3 linked regions of the Oryctolagus cuniculus genome follow. The protein of the gene in region 2 interacts with the protein of the main gene of each other region in a pairwise test. Links are inferred from orthologs where the notes say so. Each region holds a gene or a part of one and is shown on either strand. Other genes may lie near its edges.

Region 1 (3,743 bases), on a different chromosome or scaffold from region 2:
GACCTGCCTGGCCAGGTGTAATCTCTCCACTCAACCATGTAACCTGGCTCCTTCCCCCCGTCCAAGCGACTGCACTGTCTCTCAGGTCCCGTCCGGAGAGGTGCCCATCCGTTCTTGCGGATGTCCCTACCCTAATAAACTTCGCTACTTCTACTTTCCACTACTCTGTCTCATGCCTGAATTCTTTCTTGCACGAAGAACCCTGCCATTCTCCAGTAATAATTCCACTCATTAAACTATTCCAAAATCCTCAGAACAATCTCCCAAGGTTAAAGCCTTCCATGGAAGCCTGCTCTACAGAGTGTACACACCTGTGTGGGGCTTACAACAAAGACCAGTTCCCGTGACTGACCCCCACTCCCGAGGAGGTGATTTGGAAATCAGTAGGCGAGGGTGTCATCCTGCTCTTGGGAAATGTGTTGGGGATTTGGTCAAATGCTGGCCTGGAACCCAAGGTTCCTGAGCCAGAGGACAGAGGTCATGACTGAGGATGCAATTTAACTGGAATCTTCCCTGACCTTACTCCCATGGGCAAGGACACAGGCTTTAAGCATATTAGAGAGAGGCACTGAGCAGGGCCTTGCCGCAGGGTCCCTTAAAAGCTCCCAACAGGAAGCCTTCCATGCCATTCATGTGTCATACCCTCCTCCAGTGCAAACCTGGAAATGTTTAACTGGGGAAGGGAGTCCGAGAACAATGACAGTGAAGCCATTCACATGCCTCCGGGCCTTTAAAGGAAAAGTGCTGACAGAGGCAGGGTGGGAGTCTGTTCCCAGAAATGTCCCACATCGGGAGCACGAGGCTGGAGGCACTCGTGTGGAGACAACGAGGCGTCTGTGCCTGCGCCAAATGGTATATAAAAAACAGAACTTGCCAAGAATAGCCACAGTCCTGTTCCCCAAAACCGGGAACCCAAACGAATCTCCTCAAAGCTTTGCAGGACGGGAGCACGCAAGCCAACTGAGCGCAGAAGCAGGTGCCAGGGGCCAGACGTCCCCTTCGTCCACGCCCACAACTTCCTCCTGGGTGCTCACGTCACACAGGTGACCTAGAGTCGACCCAGAGGAAACCCGGACCTCCCCCACGCCCGCCGCACCGGATGCGGGCTGCCCGGCAGCTCGCAGCACTCACAACACCTGCAGTCTCCCACCCGAGTTGCCAGCCCTCCCCGTCGCCATGGCGCCGCCCGCGCCACGCAGCCCCGCCCCTTCCTCGCGACGTGGCCCCGCCCACCGCCGAACCCGGAAGCGGGAGGCTCGAGCCCGCTGAGCCAAGGTTCCGGAGGAGGAGGGAGCGCGACGGCCGAGCTCGCCGAGCCGCGCGCCCCGCCCCTCGGAGGCTGGCCTCCTGCGCGCGCCCCCGCTGCCGGCGGCCCCTGTGGGTCCCGAGCGCTCCCGGCCCCGGCCCGCTCCCGGGCCCAGCCGCCTCCACGGCCCGCCCCAGTGCTGGAGCAAGGAGCTGCCTAGGGCAGGAGGGCCGGGGACGTGGGGGCGGCCACGGCAGGTGAGGGCGGGCAAGGCCCTGGGCCGCGGGGCTGTGGGGGTGTGGCGTGTGTCGGGGCTGTGGGTGGTGGGTGTGTAGCGTGCGCAGCTGCCTCGGCCGGATGTGACTTTGTGAGTGTGAGTGTGATCCCGAGTGGGCCGGTCCATGTGACCATGCACGTGATCGCAGACCCGTGCGCGAGGGAGGTGTTTGTCCTGAGGCCGAGCCTGGGCTCGTGGCGGGGGTGGGCGGTGTGCCTGGGACCCTACCTTTGTGTGGCTGTCACCGTTGGGAGTGGGAGGCCTTGGAGTGGACAGAAGGCTTCCCGGGGACAGACGCCTGCAGACCCATCCTGGTGCTGCGCCGCAGAGCCCAGGAACTTTTCTGTTTTTCCCAGATAACTTTTAAGAACTCTGAACAAAGGCCACTTATTGTGGAGATTGTCCCTCGGCCTGAAAGTGACAGATGCCTTTGTCGTTGCTGATTTTCGGGCCAGGTAGACAGGGAATCAGGAGTCACAGGGCCTCTCCCCTGTTCCTGGGGAGTTACAAGTTAGACACTCTCGCTGTGTCTTTGTCTCCTGGAATGGTCCAGCTCCTATGGGCTGGGCCTGAGGGGTGTGTCCAGCGTTCCAAAAGCTTTTATATACCAAGAGCACAGGAGGAGCTGTCAGAGAAGAGATGTCAGGGAGGCAGCTTTCCCTCCCAAGAGGTTTGGCGATGATGAAATAGATTCCTGATGAGAAGCAGAGATCTTAAAAAAAAAAGGGGGGGGTGTCTGTGTACTGATGGGGTGAGGGATGGAGGCGTGTGTTAAAAAGCTCAGAACTCCATGCTGTAGTGCTTGTTTTTTTTGTTTGTTTTTGACAGGCAGAGTGGATAGTGTGAGAGAGAGAGAAAGGTCTTCCTTTACCGTTGGTTCACCCTCCAATTGCCACCACGGCTGGCACGCTGCGGCCGGCGCACCGCGCTGATCTGAAGCCAGGAGCCAGGTGCTTCTCCTGGTCTCCCATGGGGTGCAGGGCCCAAGCACTTGGGCCATCCTCCACTGCCCTCCCGGGCCACAGCAGAGAGCTGTCTTGGAAGAGGGGTAACTGGGACAGAATCCAGCACCCCGACTGGGACTAGAACCCGGTGTGCTGGTGCCGCAGGCGGAGGATTAGCCTACTGAGCCGCGGCGCCGGCCATGTAGTGCTTGGTTTTGCTGGTATTAATCGGGACAGGTCGCCCGCATGTAGAACAGCCATAGATTGAGATAAAGGATCAGAGACCTTGGACTAGCACAGCCGGGTGTGTGGTTGCAACACTTGTAAAGGCAGCTTCGTGGGCTGTAAACTGGCAGAGTGTGAGGGCCCCCAAGACAAGCTCGCACCCCGACCTGGCAGTGTGACTGTGCAGCAGCTCCAGGCCAGCGAGGACGGGGTCCCGGACACCCGGTGCCCTTAGGGGAGAGTGAGGCTGTCATCGCCGAAGCCTTTCCCTGCCAGCCAGAGCAGGTGCGTTCGTTTCTGTGAAAAACTCAGTCATGGGCGATGGAATCCGTGTTGCGCTCACCGTCCACATTCTTTCTGCCTTAATCCTGACCCGTTTGGTCACCATCTCAGCCAGCCTTCTTCGCCGTCTTGGAAAGTGTGCCCCTCGATGGATGAAAGAGAGCCAGGGGAACAGACCTTCCTTGTCAGACTGCTCAGCGGCTGTCCCTTGCGGAAGTGAGCTTTTCTTCACCTGGACGTCAGTTGGTCAATTGCAGCATTTGGTATCTGTCTCCCCTTTCATGTACTGCCAGACTAGCACAAGTGTTAAAATCACTTGTCGCCACAAAAATGTAGTCCCAGCTGAGTGCAGTCGCTCGGTCCGGCAAGGTTAGTTATAACTTGTTGTAATCGGGCGGTGGCCGCGAATTCTCCTGAGGACTGTTGGTAAGGAGCATCTTCCCACCTGCTGCTCTGGAGAGAAGTGGATGAGTGAGTGAGTCGGTGGGCTGTGTGAGAGTATGTGGATATGTGAGGTAGTTTGGTTTGCGCCCTGCAGCTGATTCCAAAACTGAATATTGTGTTCTACCCCTGGTTTGATGACTAGAAGCAATCTTTCAAGCTTTAAAAGATGAAGTATTTAGGGGATATGAGAATGTGGCCTGTCTGTCCAGGGAGAAAGTATTCCAGAATTAACTGTGTGGTTGTTCTTTCTGTTAAAAGTAGTAACCAGCTTAGAGGAAGGCTGTAGTTAAAATGGCTTAGTATTTGTTTGTTTGAGAGAGACAGA
Region 2 (3,743 bases):
ATGCCTGTGACATCACAGGAGACCCTGTGCTGAGTGACGTCACAGGAGACCGGGGGGCCGCGTGCCAGTGACGTCACAGGAGACCGGGGGGCCGCGTACCAGTGACGTCACAGGAGACCCTGCGGCTGTGTGCTGAGTGACGTCACAGGAGACCTGGGGGGCTGCGTGCCAGTGACGTCACAGGAGACCCGGGGGGCCACGTGCCATGACGTTACAGGAGACCCTGGGGGCCGTGTGCCAGTGACGTCACAGGAGACCCCGGGGGTACATGCCTGTGACATCACAGGAGACCCTGGGGGCCCTGTGCTGAGTGACGTCACAGGAGACTGGGGGGCCCCATGCCAGTGACGTCACAGGAGACCCGGGGGACCGTGTGCCAGTGATGTCACAGGAGACCCTGGGGCCGTGTGCCAGTGACATCACAGGAGACCCGGGGGGCCGCGTGCCAGTGACATCACAGGAGACCCTGGGGGCCGCGTGCCAAGTGATGTCACAGGAGACCCGGGGGCCCTGTGCTGAGTGACGTCACAGGAGACCTGGGGGCCGCGTGCTGTGTGACAGCGTCACAGCTTTATTTCAGGAAGCCACCCCCGACATGGGGCACGTGCTGGCGGTGGGCAGTGGGCAAGGGTGGGCGCCCGGCTGGGGGCCTCGCTGACGCCTCACACGGGCTCCAGGGGCTCCATGTGCAGCTCCTCCGCGTCCACAGCCTCCACCTTGTGGAAGGCGGCGTGGGAGCCGATGACCACCAGGGTGGCCCCTGAGGGAAACGGGCGGCTCAGGGCGGGTCCCCTGGCCCGGCCCCGCCGCCACCCCGCCACCCCGGCCCGGCACTCACCCAGCACCCAGAAGACAGCGGAGCCGGCCCCAGCCAGCCAGAAGAAGGGGAAGGAGACGCCTCCGGCCAGGGCGTACTGATGGGCTGGGCTCACCTCACGGCCTGCGGGCAGACGGCATGGGCAGCTGCCTCCACCCGGCCCCCCAAAGCGGCCCCTGCCCCCTGCCCGGCCCCCAGCGTCCCCACCGCCTCCCTCAGCTCCCAGCTCAGCTTCCAACGGCGAGTCTCAGCCGGTGGAGGACACAAATGGACAGAACCTCACACGGCCGAGACGCCACCTGCAGCCTGGCGAGGCCAGGGTGTGGCTGGGCTTCCTCAGGGACCCCTCCCCGCTCTGCCAACCCCAGCCCCCCTGCCCTTGGCTCCCTGATCCCGACCACCCCCTGGCTGCCCCCCAACCTGCCAGTTCTGCTCGGTAGCAGGAGGCACGGCCTGGACTCCCCTCCCCAAGCAGCCCCAAGACCTCCCCGGTCCCACCCCGGGGCGCAGACAGGTGGGGAGGGCCAGGCCGGTGCAAGGGCGCCACCTGGTGTCCCGTGTGGGGACGTGCAGCGATGCTTCCCGCAGAGGCGGGGAGGGCGCGGCGGCTGGGGCAGGGCTGGGGCTTAGCCAGGGGGTGAGCGAGGGCGACGCGGGGGCTGAGGCTGGGACACCAGCTGTGTCAGGCCTGCGGGAATCCCGAGAGCCAGGCTCGGGTGAGGCCCCAGGGACGGGGACTTGGGGGCCGAGGTCTGCGAGCCGAGAGGCCAGGAGGTGACTTCTCACCGAAGAGCACGAGCTTGGACTGCAACGTGCGCAGATACAGGATGTAGCAGGCGCCGAAGAAGACGGCCAGGGCCACCAGCAGCATGGGCGACGTCACCCTGGAGGAGGAGGGCAGGGAGGCGGAGGTCAGGAGGTCAGGGCCCGGGCCCGGCCGCAGCGGGCGGAGGCCAGGGCGCCCTGGGCGTGGGGCGGGCCGGCTCACACGCAGTACAGGATGAGGCCCAGGAACACGAACACGTAGTTGCTCTGGTAGTACTCCACATTGCGGACCAGGCGCTGGCACAGCTCGCCCAGGTTGCGGGGCCGCGAGAAACGCCGCTGGTCCACGAAGGCGCCCCACGGCCGGATGGTCGCCCGGCGCCGCTCCAGCCACTCGCGGCCGGCGCCGGACGGAATGAGCTTCGGCAGCAGGGTCCTGGAGGGCGGGGGGGGGGGGCAGCGGTGAGCCGGGACCCCCGACCCCTCCCAGACACCAGCGGAGGGGGGAGGGGAGGGCCGGCGCCTGGGCCCTGGGGCGGGCCGGGGCGGGGCAGGGAGGGGCTTCCCCTGGATCCCGGGGGAGGAAGGGGCCGGGGGACCGGACTCGCGTCCTAGAAAGACGTTTCGGTGTCCGGGGGCCAGGACCCCCGCGACTCGAGGGGAGAGGAGGCCGGGGCCGGCACCCCCGGGTTACAGCGGGCTCGCTCACGTGGCGCTCAGCCCTTCGGCCTCGGCCTCCTTCTGCTGGTCCTTCGGGGCCGCCATGTCTACGTTGTGAAGGGCAGAACCGCTGTAACTGGCCCCGGGCCCTGCAGACCCCTCGGGCCCCGCCGGTGCCAGGCCTCACCCAGCGGCGCGGACGTGGCTCCGCGTCGGCGCCGCTGGGGGAGGAGCTCTGCTCCCCGAGCATTGTGGGAGTTGTAGTCCCGACGGGCGACTGGGCGCCATGACGGCAGTCTGGCTCGCAGGGCATTGTGGGAGTTGTGGTCTCTCTGGGCATTGTGGGAGTTGTAGTTTCAGGAGTGGGAGGTGGGGAGTTAAGTGTTGTGTATTCTCCCTCGGAGGGTCCAGTGGGGACCGTGCGGGGCTGTCGTCCTGACTCTAGAAGGCATAAAAATGTACCCTGGCGGGCTTGATTAAACACTGAATCCTAGGCCTCGGGCCCAAATGTTCCGACTCAGCCAGTCTGGACTGCAGGCCATGAAATCCGCCTTTGTATCAAGTCCCCCGCGGGCCGCATACCGAGCCCCAGGGTTGCAGGGAATTTGTGGGCGTCCGTTCCGTCCTCGAGAGGTGGGGAGCGGGCCCCTCCCAGGGATCCCGGGGTGAGTAGGGTAACACTCGCGACAGCCACGAGGGGTTGAGGAGAGGGTTGAGAATTTTACTTTATGTTTTACATTTATTTCAGAGAGAGACACACACACACAACTCCCATCCACTCAACCCAGGTCTCCCACACGGGACCCAGGAGCCCGATCATCTCCCAGGGCCCCAGAACCCGAACCAGACCCAGTCACTCCGAGGTGGGACACAGGTGCCTTAACCACTAGGCTAATGGCCCTCTCCCCTAAGAGAACTTGTTGTTCTTGTTGCTATTTAGTATTTTATTTACTTACAGAGTTACAGAGAGAGAGAGAGAGAGAGAGAGATCATCCGTCCACTTGTTCACTCCCACATGGCCACAACGGCCAGAGCTGTGCCGATCCAAAGCCAGGAGCCAGGAGCTTCCTCTGGGTCTCCCACGTGGGTGCAGGGGCCCAAGCAGTTGAGCCATCCTCTGCTGCCTTCCCAGGCCACAGCAGAGAGCTGGGTCAGAAGAGGAGCAGCCAGGACTTGAACCAGCACCCGTAGGGGATGCCGACATCACAGGTAGAGGCTTAGCCCACCATGCCACAGCGCTGGCCCCTAAACAGAAGTGTGTGTGTGTGTGTGTGTGTGTGTGTGTGTTTAAAGGAGCTGTCAGCTCCAGCATTGTGGCACAGCAGGTTAAGCCACCGCCTGTGACGCTAGCATCCCATATGGGCAATGGTTTGAGTCCCAACTGCTCCACTTCCCATCCAGCTCCCTGTCAATATGCTTAGGAAAACAGTGGAAGAGGCCTCAAGGAGCCGGCGCTGTGGCGTAGCGGGTAAAGTCTCCACCTGCACTGCCGGCATCCCAT
Region 3 (3,675 bases), on a different chromosome or scaffold from region 2:
TGATTATTGGTTGCCCCCGATCTTCCCTAAAATAGCCATCTTTTACTATCACCCTAAGATATTTTCATTAACACTTTTGCAAAGGTTTTCCCAAACTACTGGACTATTTTAATAGACAGTCCAGAATGCAAATACAGTAGGCTAGATATTGGCAAACAAGATGCCAGAAAAAAATATAAAAAGATTTTCTAAGTTTGACTCTGTTGAGATCATTAATCTAAAGTTCTTAAAAGAAAGGATGATCTGGCACTACACTTACTTAAATTCTATAGTCCTTGCCATTTATTGGCCATCCTTCCTTTTTGCCCCTGGAAAAATCCTCCTCGATCCTTTCTGCTCTTCCAAATCTCACTGCTAATAACATCCTTACAGGTTTCTTTTCCAGAGTCTTCCAAAACCCAATGGGCAAGCCAAAGTCACTACATTCCTCTGAAATCCTGTTGCTCCAATCTATACTGCATATTTGGAACTTGCTATATCTACTGACATTTGATATGCATAAAATCTACATTCTAAAAAAAAAAATCTACATTCTATATTCCATTTATAAGTTCCTTGGGGAACTTATAAAACCATAGCACTGTTAAACCCTAGCACTATCAGAATGCCTTACAGGAAAATGATTTCTACCTCCAAAAGAATGTTCTTACCATTTTCCAAATTCGTCTGGAAGTATCTGAATCTCACCACTACATTGGTAAGGATGACTCCTATTTATCCTATTTTACAAAAGGAGAAACAAATTCTGAAGCTGAGTAATTTCTCAAAATCTCATTCAACTAATTAATTTTCAAGGTCTATTTATAGTACTAAACATATGTAGCAAATATAGGAACCTCCCTGAACAGCAGAGGTTTAAAAAATCTCCATATAGTGGCAAATCCAAAAATTCATGTTCTTTACTGCTTCCAGGATAAACACTAATTAGGAACCTTACATCAACTCGGGCTAACCACGTAACACCAACTTTGTCCTCGGAGCCCTTGATAAAGAAAAAATTGCCAACATAGCAAATTTTTCAAGTAAGAAATTCTAGTAAAATCGTATAGCTACTGTTTAGTACGAAAAGATATTTCAGCATCAAACCACAATATTACAAAATTTGAAGTCAGAATGCGTTTTGCAACAGTCATGTGACACACACATGACAGTCAGCTAAACTGAAGAGTTGACTTTTCAGGGGGATATGTCTACCAGTAACTGACCAAAGCAAAAAATAAAAAAACTTTTGGGACAAATACTAATTTTTGCTTTTAGAAATCCTCCTGAAAAGGTTTCCGGCGCTGAAGAATACCAATTAAATTATCAACTTTTCATTAATTTACATATATGTAAACTGTAGGAAGTGTTTTTTCTTAAGGGCCATAAAGAACTCAACTAAACTCTTCCCCAAGGCAAGTGAACACTAGTTCCCAGGAAAAGTGCCAGGTGTGTCACATCTGTTGTGGTGACCTCTTGAGTAAGCAAGGAAAAGAAATGCATTAACTTTTCATGACACGTCATGGAAGCTCATTCCCTATCTACAAGCATTCAAGTAGGTAATCCAAAACCTACACGATCTACCATAGGTCCCACTCGTTTCTCTTTCAACTTGACAGTAGTCCTTGTCCAATTCGGTAGTACCCTTGGTTTTAGTTCTGTTTTTTTTTTTTCTCCCTCCCTTGACCTATAGAAGACAAAATGACTTAGGTGTCCTCTAACAACAAATTCTCCCAAATGTCCAGGGCTTTGGGAGGGCGATGGACCAGGCAAGTTCTTAAAGAACTCCTCCAGGAGATAACTCCAAACGAGAACTAAGCATTTTAAATCGCTGCTCACCATCTCTCCGCTCCTTGCCCTCAATCCCACGCAGTCCCGAGAAGCATCCATATTACCTGCAACCTGGCGGGGAGGGTGGCACGACAGGGAACCAGCAAGCTCAGGCTTTACAAGTAAAGCTGGTTTCCAACCCGGCGATCCTGACAGCTCCGCAGAGCGCGGGCGCGGGGTCTGACAGTGCCCTCTGGGGGAGCTCTCCCACCCTTCTCCTCCCCTTAAAAACAAATGCCCCTTCCAAAGTTACTGCCCCCGGAGGAAGCTGACCCTTCAGGCCGCTCCGCCACCGGACTGCCCAACGCCCCAAGGCCCTCCGCAGCGGCCCGGCACTCAGGCCCTGAGGCGGACCCGGCCGAGGCCCGGGCCGCTCACCTCTCCGGCCGACCCCTCCCCCCGGCCGCCCCTCCGCCGTCAGACAATGGGGCCCGACTCCCGGCCTCAAGCCTCTAAGGCCCCGTCACCCTTGCCTCCCTCGGGCCAATGCCCGCGCCCCTGCCCCAGCCCTCCTCGCCCCGCTTAAGCTTCCCAAGCTGGCCCACCGACCCAGCCGACCGGTGTTCTCCTGCACTCACTATTCGGGATTCATGCTGGACATGTCACTGCAGCTGCCGCCGCCGCCACCGCCGCCCTTGCTGCCGCAGCCGCCGCCCTGACTCTCCGCGCCACGGGTAATCGAAGGAAAGGAATGAGATGGGCTGTTCCGGGAGAGCAAACGTCTTCCCCCGCTCCGTCCCCTTAGAACACAATCAGCAGCCGCCGCCACTCAGCTATCGCTTCCACCCAAAATGGCCGCCGGCGAACCAGGAAATAGGGAAGCCTCGGACCAAGGGGTCTTTACACGGCCCGGAGGGCGGCCTCGGCGCGTGGCATGCCGGGAAGGAGAGTCGCGAGCGCAGCTACACGCGCAGAAGACCGACGGTGCGGCAAGGCGGCCGGGACTCCGCTTCCCGCCAAGCCCCGCGACTCTGGTGCATGCGTACTTGTGCGGTTGTCGCCCGCTCCATTCCCCACTCCCTCACCCCCCACCCTCCGCCCCTCCCTGCTCCCCTCCCCGTTGACTCGCTGGCTAGGACTTCGCTCGGACTCCCCCTAGCGGATTGGCTAAGGCCGAGAGGCCCCGGTGATGTCACCAGTGAGACGTGGCAGCCGGGCGAGTCAGCGCCCCACGGGGGAGGGGGTGGGAAGAGGCAGAGGGCGGTACCGGCCGGGGCGGAGGATGGGGGTCACGGTGGGACCGCGGGGCGGGAGGGGTCTGGCCTGGTGGGACGGCCCGAGCGTGGGGGAAGGGGCGCGCGCCTGGCGGCCCCTGAGCCCCGCGCGGTTCTCGCAGGCCCGACGGGCTTGAGGCCTGCCCTTCGCCGCTGGTCCGAGGACGTAGGCTCAGAGGGCGGCGGGAAAGTCGGGGGCCTCTGCCGAGGACTTCCGGCGCCCTGGACTGCGCGCAGCCCTCTTCACTCACCCGACCCCACCCGGGTTCGGTCACTACCGTTTTCTTTTTGATTTTTACAGTCCTGGCCCAGCCCCACTCTTGTCATGTCACCTCAGCCTGGACATTTCAGTTGCCTGCAAGTGGACTATGCCCCAGCCCATTCGCACACAGCGCTTCCACCGTGACCCCACAACCTTCAAGGGCTCCACAGCCAGGGGTGGGACACAGCCCAGGCATGGCCTAAGAGTTGAGTCTACCTGCTCTCGGCCCAGCCTTCAGGCTGAATTGTTCTGCCTCTTTAAAAGTTGCCACTTAATTCTGAGCAAGATTGGAAAGTAATAAGCGATAAAAACGTACAATTCATCACTATATAGTGCCCACAGACTCCAGGAGTAATACTAACACATAAAAAAAAAAAAAAAAAACAACCT

Evidence for each region.
Region 1: the proteins of RABAC1 (region 2) and SPG21 interact in binary tests that used the Homo sapiens proteins (3 or more experiments, as listed by UniProt). The two-hybrid records come from large-scale screens. The link is inferred for Oryctolagus cuniculus from reciprocal best matches to the Homo sapiens genes RABAC1 and SPG21.
Region 3: the proteins of RABAC1 (region 2) and RAB1A interact in a two-hybrid assay, tested with the Homo sapiens proteins (2 studies listed by BioGRID and IntAct). The link is inferred for Oryctolagus cuniculus from reciprocal best matches to the Homo sapiens genes RABAC1 and RAB1A.

What each region holds. Positions count from the first base shown.
Region 1 is NC_091443.1:88,008,669-88,012,411, reverse strand, and holds the start of SPG21 (maspardin), read left to right. Parts: upstream 1-1,273; 5' UTR 1,274-1,503; intron 1,504-1,597; exon of another isoform or gene 1,598-1,619; intron 1,620-1,699; exon of another isoform or gene 1,700-3,400; intron 3,401-3,743. UniProt on the Homo sapiens protein: May play a role as a negative regulatory factor in CD4-dependent T-cell activation.
Region 2 is NC_091449.1:12,583,769-12,587,511, forward strand, and holds RABAC1 (prenylated Rab acceptor protein 1), read right to left. Parts: upstream 2,489-3,743; 5' UTR 2,348-2,488; coding exon 2,292-2,347; intron 2,019-2,291; coding exon 1,806-2,018; intron 1,702-1,805; coding exon 1,604-1,701; intron 941-1,603; coding exon 839-940; intron 761-838; coding exon 663-760; 3' UTR 542-662; downstream 1-541. UniProt on the Homo sapiens protein: General Rab protein regulator required for vesicle formation from the Golgi complex. May control vesicle docking and fusion by mediating the action of Rab GTPases to the SNARE complexes.
Region 3 is NC_091433.1:137,617,938-137,621,612, reverse strand, and holds the start of RAB1A (ras-related protein Rab-1A), read right to left. Parts: upstream 2,837-3,675; 5' UTR 2,411-2,836; coding exon 2,388-2,410; intron 698-2,387; exon of another isoform or gene 574-697; intron 1-573. UniProt on the Homo sapiens protein: The small GTPases Rab are key regulators of intracellular membrane trafficking, from the formation of transport vesicles to their fusion with membranes.